Linked DNA regions of Nothobranchius furzeri. The protein of the gene in region 2 purifies or fractionates together with the protein of the main gene of each other region. This does not show direct contact. Links are inferred from orthologs where the notes say so. Each region holds a gene or a part of one and is shown on either strand. Other genes may lie near its edges.

What was found. The genes of interacting proteins can lie anywhere in the genome.
Region 1: the proteins of akap1b (region 2) and prkacab purify together in Homo sapiens (affinity purification with mass spectrometry; 8 studies listed by BioGRID and IntAct, with this or other methods). This does not show direct contact. The link is inferred for Nothobranchius furzeri from reciprocal best matches to the Homo sapiens genes AKAP1 and PRKACA.

What each region holds. Positions count from the first base shown.
Region 1 is NC_091744.1:6,143,486-6,147,531, reverse strand, and holds the start of prkacab (cAMP-dependent protein kinase catalytic subunit alpha), read left to right. Parts: upstream 1-1,189; 5' UTR 1,190-1,413; coding exon 1,414-1,459; intron 1,460-4,046.
Region 2 is NC_091753.1:61,600,095-61,604,301, forward strand, and holds the start of akap1b (A kinase (PRKA) anchor protein 1b), read left to right. Parts: upstream 1-1,350; 5' UTR 1,351-1,528; intron 1,529-2,816; exon of another isoform or gene 2,817-2,929; intron 2,930-3,015; 5' UTR 3,016-3,040; coding exon 3,041-4,207.

The DNA of each region.
Region 1 (4,046 bases), on a different chromosome or scaffold from region 2:
TAATTTGAAGAGCTGCCACTTTTGCCTAACGTTGACAGTCATTTGGCATGGTTTTACAGCACCTGAGATCAAATGTGGAAAAGAATATAGCTGGTTAATTGGTTGTGCTGTAAAAAATGTGGCTTCAGAGTCAAAGTGATGAGGATGCTATGAGATCTATTTATAGATTTGATTTATTTTTTCCTACCAACACAAGCTTACGTTAAATCAAAGGGGCATTCTAATGCAAATCTGCGAATCGGAGCTTTTGATGATGCTGATGATAAAAGGACCCCTGGTCCGCTGCTCTCTAGTCCAGCTGCTGCGGGGTGATGAAGATGAAACACCAGTTTTTAAAATCTTGTTTATTTGTGTTCATTTCTCACAGAATAGCCTGCGAAATGTTTAGATGTCTTTGCTGCCACACTGCGCCGCGCGTGCGTTAAATTCTGACCAACATTTCTAAAAATAGACTCACGGTTGACGTCACTCAGCCAAACGTGTAACAGTCGCTCAGCAGCGGGAAAGAGCGAAGTAGAGGAGGAGGGTATTTATGTCAATCACTGGTGACAGCCAATGGGCGTCCTCGTGTTCGCTGAGATTCCCACGGTCCGTCCGTATCTAGCCAATAGAAGGGCCGGATCACAAAAAGTGGGCGGAGTCGTTGTCGGGAGGAAAATATTCTGTGACGTTGCCCTCATTCGCGTTGTGTTGGGCGGTGGGAAGCTGCTGTTGTTGATTGACGGCTGCAGTTGGCCAATCACAGTAAACTGTTGGTCACCGCTCTGATAAAGTGGCCAATCATCGACGTAAGCACGAGCTGTCATTCAACGCTGGTTTAAGCAAGTAGGCGGGACGTTCGCTCCGCTGTAGTTCCGTCATCTCGCTGGTCTCCGAGGCTACGGGGGCCCGATGTTGATTTGGGTGAATACCTGTCGTTGTCGGACCCCGCTGAGGCTAAAATTTTGCTAAGCTGGTTTTATTGACAACAAGCGAGACGCTTTCGATTGAGAACATTGCTCCCTCTCCGCTGGTATTGTTGTTTTTATAGGCTGGGAGAGGTGGTGGAGAGCCGGGGAGGGGAGCTCCGTTCGGCGGGGGCTGCAAGGAGGGTCAGGTGGAGACTGTATCCTCCGTGTCCAGGCCAGCTGCCTCCGAGCTCAACCCTGAAGCTCCGGCGAAGCCCCAGCTCAACGTGGATTTAAATCCGATGCTGGCCAGCGGCTGCGGGTGACCGTGGGAGGGAGCGAACCCGCTTATCTAACGTGGCGCCGCATTAGCAGCTGTCAGGCTACTAAAGAGCAAGACCTCGGAGTGAACGCTCCGTGCTGCTGCTGGATTCAGGAAAACACCGTCCAGATCGAGATTTGACCGACTTGAGGAGGCTGCAGGGCGGCCGGAACGCCGCGGATTGCCTGTTGACAGGTTGTCATCATGGGCAACGCGCCCACGGCAAGAAAGGGCAGCGAGATGGAAAGCGGTGGGTATCCTGATCCGTTACATCCTCACGAGATGATCAGAGACAACGTGACACGGCAGGCGATGTTAGCTTTACAAAACCTGCAACACAGCGGCCTTTCCTCACGATGCTTTCATTTAATACCATCCACATGATGTCCTCCTTACAAGCGAATTAGGATGTTATTTGACATGAACCCCATACCAGCAGCGATGGCTGCAAGTTCTTCATCATTTCAAATATGTTATTGAGATCTCTAAATAAAACTCAAGATTTCCTGCTACAGGGCATTTAACTGAGGATGCAAAGCTAGAATTAACTGCAAAACAACCACTCTTAAGCTGCAGTAATATTGGCATCCTCACTTCCTCTTGTACTCGGATCTTGGCAAGACTGCAACAAACTATGTGTCAGATATTTCCTGAACACTCTGTGCCTGTTGCTCTTTGGAGGGATGTATTGTCAAGACTTCTTGCAAACATGGGGGGGGGGGGGGGGGGGGGCATTTAGTGTTGATTGGCTAAGGGATATAATTTGGTCTATCAAATAAACAAAAGTATGGAAGCCTACTGATGAGAAAGCGATGGCAATCAAAGCGATTGTGTTTTATAAATCTACATTTTAGGTTGACATTACGTGACTTTTCATTAAGAACCACAACCTTTGTACCTCAGGGCGCAGTAAAAACAACCTGCACATTGGAAACATGAAAAATATACATTCTTCAATATGAAGCGTGAATATTTTGGCTCAGAATCGCTGCTTTGGATGTTATTCTTGTGTGTTGTTGTGCTGTAAGTTTTACTCACGTTTACAGCAATCCTGTTACTAAATAAAACTGGATTTACTTTGACTAATTTGATAGACGATGTGTGGGGCTGGGAAAAAGTATTTACCTCTTTACAGATTTCTACAGTCTTTGCTTTTGGGGTCAAATTTAGATGTTTCAGACTCTGCTAATTTCAGTATCTGATTTAATTCATCAAGGTGGGGGGAAATTGTCTGGCTCTATGTGAAAATAGCCTGCAGCCAGCCGCATGCTTCCTTATGGGAAGTTCTCTGTGTAGAATTAAACAGAGGATGAGTCTGGCAGGCCAGGCTAATGTGAAAACTGTTTAATTGGGGATAACACCTTTGGTGACAACAGCTGATGCAGCTTTAAGGTCAAAGGCTACAAACTCCTTCAAGATTTTCTGATAGAATTCATGTTTGCATCCGTTGCAGCAAGTGGTCCAGGTGCTGAAGCAGCGAAGCCCTAAACATCACACTACCACCACCATGGTTGACCATGATGCTCTTTCACTGACATTTAATTTTACACCAGATTTAATGGGTTGCACACCTTCCATAAAGTTTGAATTTCATTTGGTCAGTCCACAAAATATTTTGCCAAAAGCCCGGGAGATCATGATGCCTTTGGCAAATGTGAGATGGGTCTTAGTTGTGTTCTTTTTTTAATCTGCTGAGGTTCTGGCCTTGGAACTATAAACATGAATACTTAGATGACCCATTGGGCTCTGGGGAGTGTAACAGCGTGCATTCAGGCTTCCAACACAAAATAATGGACACCACCAGTGTTGTTGAGTACTAAAAGAACTTCAACAAAAGAACTTACCAAGTATTCTGTGCACCTAAATAATAGTGACACACACCCCCATCGACAGTTGCCACATACAACCTGAAAAACATTACAAATAAGATGTAGAAACGCCAGGAAAAGTGACACCGGTCAATTTAGGCAGAAATGTTGAAATTTTTAACGACATAACAATTGATAACAACAATAAACAACTACTCGGTTCTGTAAAAAAAAAAAACAGAACATATAAATGAGAAAAAAATAAAGCTGAAAACTACTTCCTGGTAGCACTGGACATCTTAAAATTTGTGATCTTGGGTCCTCTGAAACCTACCAGCTCGCAGCTCAGAATTCTGAGTTTAATGCGTCATTTCCGGTTAACTTACCTCAGAAAAACGAGTTCTGACGACAACTGGAACGCACCACTAATCTCCATTTTCAGTCAATGGGGCTAAAAAAGCTATTTTTTAATCTGCTTTGCCTGACGCCCTGAATTGCACACATGTTGCACTTCAATTTAAATGAAAAGTAAAGATGTGTGTTTCGATCACACCTGTCAAATTTTGAAACGTATGAGTTTGTAAAAATTTGTAATTACAATTACAAATCGGACGTCCCCCCCCCCCCCCCCCCCCCCCGTGTAGCTGCTATTTACCACATGGCAAGATTCATGGTTGTTCTTTCCTACTGAAAGAAGGATTCGAAGCTCCCTTAACCATTTTTCCTATCCTCTTCTATAATGGCCTCCATTTAAAATGATAGCGCAGCCGCGATGTGGCGCGTCTGTCTCCGGTGTGCCCTAAGCTTTAGACACCATAAAGACAGCACCAATCCAAGGGGGGCCTACATATGGTATGTCTGTTGGGTTATAAGCTTGACTCTCCGAAAGTCCAGTTAGAATTGACAAAGTTCATCGGATGAGAAGCGAAACATCTTCAAGAAACCAAAGAAGTCCAGTTGCCTTCATTTGAACTCTCATAATGCAATTTTTTTTTCAGCTTTTTCTTATGTTGAATTATGAATTTTGAC
Region 2 (4,207 bases):
TCTGGAGTGGTTCTCCTCTTATCTCTCTGAGCGCTCCTTTTCTGTGGCCGTCTCCAAGTTTAGGTCCTCCACCACCTCTCTTACCCATGGTGTCCCACAAGGTTCTGTGCTGGGGCCTCTACTCTTCCCCCTCTATCTGCTTCCTCTTCAGCACATCCTGAGCTCCTTCAAAGGAATCTCCTACCATCTTTATGCAGATGACATCCAACTGTACATCTCCTTTAAGCCCCATGAGATGTCTAAGCTGCAGCTGTTACACACCTGCTTAGACTCTATCAAAACCTGGATGGCTGGGAGCTTTCTTCAGCTGAATGAAGATAAGACTGAGATCCTCATCTGTGCCCCAGACAAGCTGCTTCCCAAAGTCAGAGACTCTCTTGGTCAGCTTGCTTCCCACACCAAACCCTCTGTCAGGAATCTTGGCGTGACCTTTGACCCAGCTCTCACCCTGGATTCTCATGTCAGTTCTCTTGTTGGCTCTTCCTTCTTCCATCTCAGGAACGTTGCTAAGCTGAGTCCCATTCTGTCCCGCTCTGAACTTGAGACAGTCCTCCACACCTTCATCTCCTCACGCTTAGACTACTGTAACTCTCTTTTCACGTGTCTGAGCAGAACCTCCCTGAACCGTCTACAGGTGGTTCAGAATGCCTGTGCTCGGCTTCTGACCAAGTCCTCCAAACACACCCACATCACCCCGCTTCTCCTCCAGCTTCACTGGCTGCCAGTCAACTTCAGGGTTCATTTCAAGATCCTGGTTCTGGTCTATAGGGCCTTACATGGACAAGCACCATCTTACATTGGTGATCTTCTTAGTCCCTACACCCCCAGCAGGTCCCTGAGGTCCAGTGACCAAAGCCTACTGGTTGTGCAGCACCAGGCTAAAGGTCAAAGGTGACAGATCATCTGCTGCTTTGGCCCCCAGACTCTGGACCTCTCTCCCCCTGAGCCTGAGATCAGTGGACTCAGTGGTCTCCTTTAAAAAGCAGCTGAAGACTCACTTGTTCAAGCTGGCTTTTGTATGACCTTCCTCACCTCTCTCTTTATTCTGCTCTCTCCACCTATTCCACCTTCCTCAGGATCCACTGGTTTCCCTCCTTCCTGTTCACTCTCTCTCTTTCTTAACATTTTTTCTTTTAAATCCCAATTACCTATTTTTGCTCATTTTAAATATATTTTTAAACATTTTCTAAATGCTTTTTTATACTTTTACATTTTTTGTGTGTTTTTGTGAAGCGCCTCGTGATTTTTTATCTTGAGAGGCGCTATAGAAATTATATTTTCTTCTTCTTCTATTTTATGTTGCTTTGTTTAAAAAAAGTCCCACTTCTGCCCACCAGGGGCGACACCGCACCTTTGAGTTAAGTTAAAAACCTAAAAGAAGAAGAGGATGAAGAAGTAGTAGTTGTGTGTTTTTATAGACCTGCGTGGGTCGATCAGCACGTGGAGAGAGGAGTTTGACTTTGTACAGGACTTTTGTTGAAAAGCTTTTCCTTCCTGGCTCGAAGTCGTCGTGGCGGCGCAGAAGAAGGTAAATGAAACAGCGCGATCTCCCAGACTAGCATGCACCCTTGTGCCACCGACTTTTGGCGTTCTCTAAGCAGACAGCCTTTCATCTCCGACTAAATACACACCATTGACATTTCTGGGCACGCTTAGGATGTATCAGGTGTGTGCACTGAAAGTAAGTGCTCGTTCAATGCCATCGTGTCATTGAACGAGCACTTTTGCCCAGTTTTGGGCTGTGCAGCCAGGTCTGCCCCTGTGGTGTCATTCAAGCAGCCGCATGTACGTGTCCTCAGCGGGCACGGATGCGAACGATCACCGTAACAAGCACACCAGAGCTTTTATATCCCAGTAGAAGTGTCGGCTGTCGGCCAGTCAGCGCCGTTGGCTGCGGTGTTAGCATCGCAGGTCAGTAAGCTAGCAGCAGGGCTGAGGCCCGCTCGCAGCAGAACGTCCTTTAACCCGCTTCGACCCAACACACGTGTCCTCCACGGCGCCGCTGCGGCCTAGCCCGGCTCTCAGTTGGTAAAGCAAAACAAAAATGTCCAATATTTAGTCAACGTGTGTCACGTAGATCCTCTCGTTAGTAGGGCCTGACGTTATTAAGTAAAGCGCGAGGACAGATTTCATACAACTTATCCTCTGGTGAGTGAACGAGCCAGCTGTCCCGGTGGGATTAACGAGCTGTCCCTAAAATTCCTGAAAACTTCACGTTTTCCGTCAATCTAGTAAGACGACCCGAGGCCAGCAGGATTATGTTCAAACAGACGGACTGTTCTTTAGCGTCAGCTAGCCGTGAAGCTAAGTCGCTGCTGGGAGTCTCATACATGTAGGCTGTGTCCTACGTGAGAGGAAGGCACCTACAGAGGTGGCTTCTGAGAGCGAGTCTGCGTGTCAGTCCGCAGGAAAGGACCTGGCAGGGACGTGTTTCCACACACACACACACGCACACGCACGCACGATGACCTTAACGGTTCTCTGTGCCACAGTCGGGTGAGAACCACCCAGGGTCATGCAGACGTCCAAGACCAGCGTGCGTCACTTTCACTTGGGTTCAGGGTGTAATGGTGTGTGTTAGGGCTGTGCACGTTCCTAGCCAAGTTCACAATCCAGCAGACACGTGTTGCATGTTTTCTAACACCTTAGAGTGAACGCTGCTGTCCCAGGTGAGTGGTGTGGGATACTCCAAACAAGAAGTACTTTAGTTTCTGAAGCTAAAGTTTAGTCAAAGTTGGTCAGGAAGACAGTTAAAGTCGATTTTATCCTGAAATAACTGATGTAAAAATCAGCTAATGTCACTTCTCTACGAGCAGCAGTCAGACCGACGATGTGGGCTAGTCTGTCAGATGTCTGAGCATTAAGACTCTGCTACGGAGCTCCAGCGAGTCCCTCGGGTCGCCGGGGAGACCTGTTTGCTGACCTGGCTGTAGGTTTGCCACCTAGGTGGTTTCTGTTACCAGAAAGTCTTTGTGACGCCTTTCTCTGCTCATCTGTCCCTGTTTTTAATTTCAGGTGTGCCCCCTGATCTCTTGAGAACATGCTGCTGAGGTTCCGCTCCGTGGTTCCCTACACGCTGCCCGGTGTACTCGCACTCATCGGCTGGTGGTGGTACGCCTCGCGTAAGAAAGAGCGTCTAATCAGCGATGAAAGTTCAGAGGGGCCCCCGAGCGCGGACACATCTCACCTGGAGGGTAGAAACGGCGTGGATGAAAACGGGACTGCCACACCTCCACGTGAAGTGGACTTCTACGGACCTCCGAGTCTAAACCACCAGAGAACACCACATGAAATACTTTCTCCCATCCACACCCAGGATGTTGAAGCAGCACATTCCCTGGTTCAAAGTTCTGATGATCCTGACCCACTGAGTGGCAGACTAATAGCAGAGGACATCTTTACACCCACAGGTCCCACTTCGCCATCACATGAGGAAGATGTGACAGGAAGTTCGTTGAAACCCCCTGGAAGGGACTTCTTAATAGTTTCAGACGGGGAGTTTCATTCAGAGGTGGCTCCGGGGGCCTCGAGCGAGGACGCCATCACGTCTCACCGTGCTACCAAAGTCACCCGTTCGTCCTCTGTGACACGCCTCTCTGGTGCAGAAAGACCAGAGCCAGAGGGTGAAGTTGCTATGCATCAGAGCTCTGTTAACACTCAAGATGAGATTGTTTGTGCACTTACCCTAGCCAAAACACCAAGGGTCCTCCCATCAGAGGCAGACTCTCTGGAGACGTGTCTGTCAGCGGATGTACACAAACTGATACTAACCAGTACACCCACTTCTCTCACCTTCACAGTCCAGGATCCCACCAGCATGCTGGTGACCTCAGAGGACATCCGTATCAAGAGCAGCACTCAAGAAGAGCCGAATCTGGAGCTCCTGGCAGCTGGACTCATCACTGAGGTCATCTCAGCAGCCACCCAGGAAGTGCTCGGTGTCACCAAGGTGTCACCCGGTGGCAGCTCACCCGCGGTCAGAGGACAGCTTTGCTCTCTAGAGGAGCCGGTCGCAGGAACACAGCAGCACGGTTGTCACCCGAGAAGCCTTGTGCAGGGAGGCCCTGAGTGCCGAGAGGCAGCAGATGTCCAGGGAGTGCCAAATGGTGGCTCCATGACTCCAGCACGGGCAGCTGCTGAGGCCAGCAACGGGGTTTGTAAAACAAATGTCTCGTGGCCGCCGCCGCCGCCGCATCAGGCCTCTCCA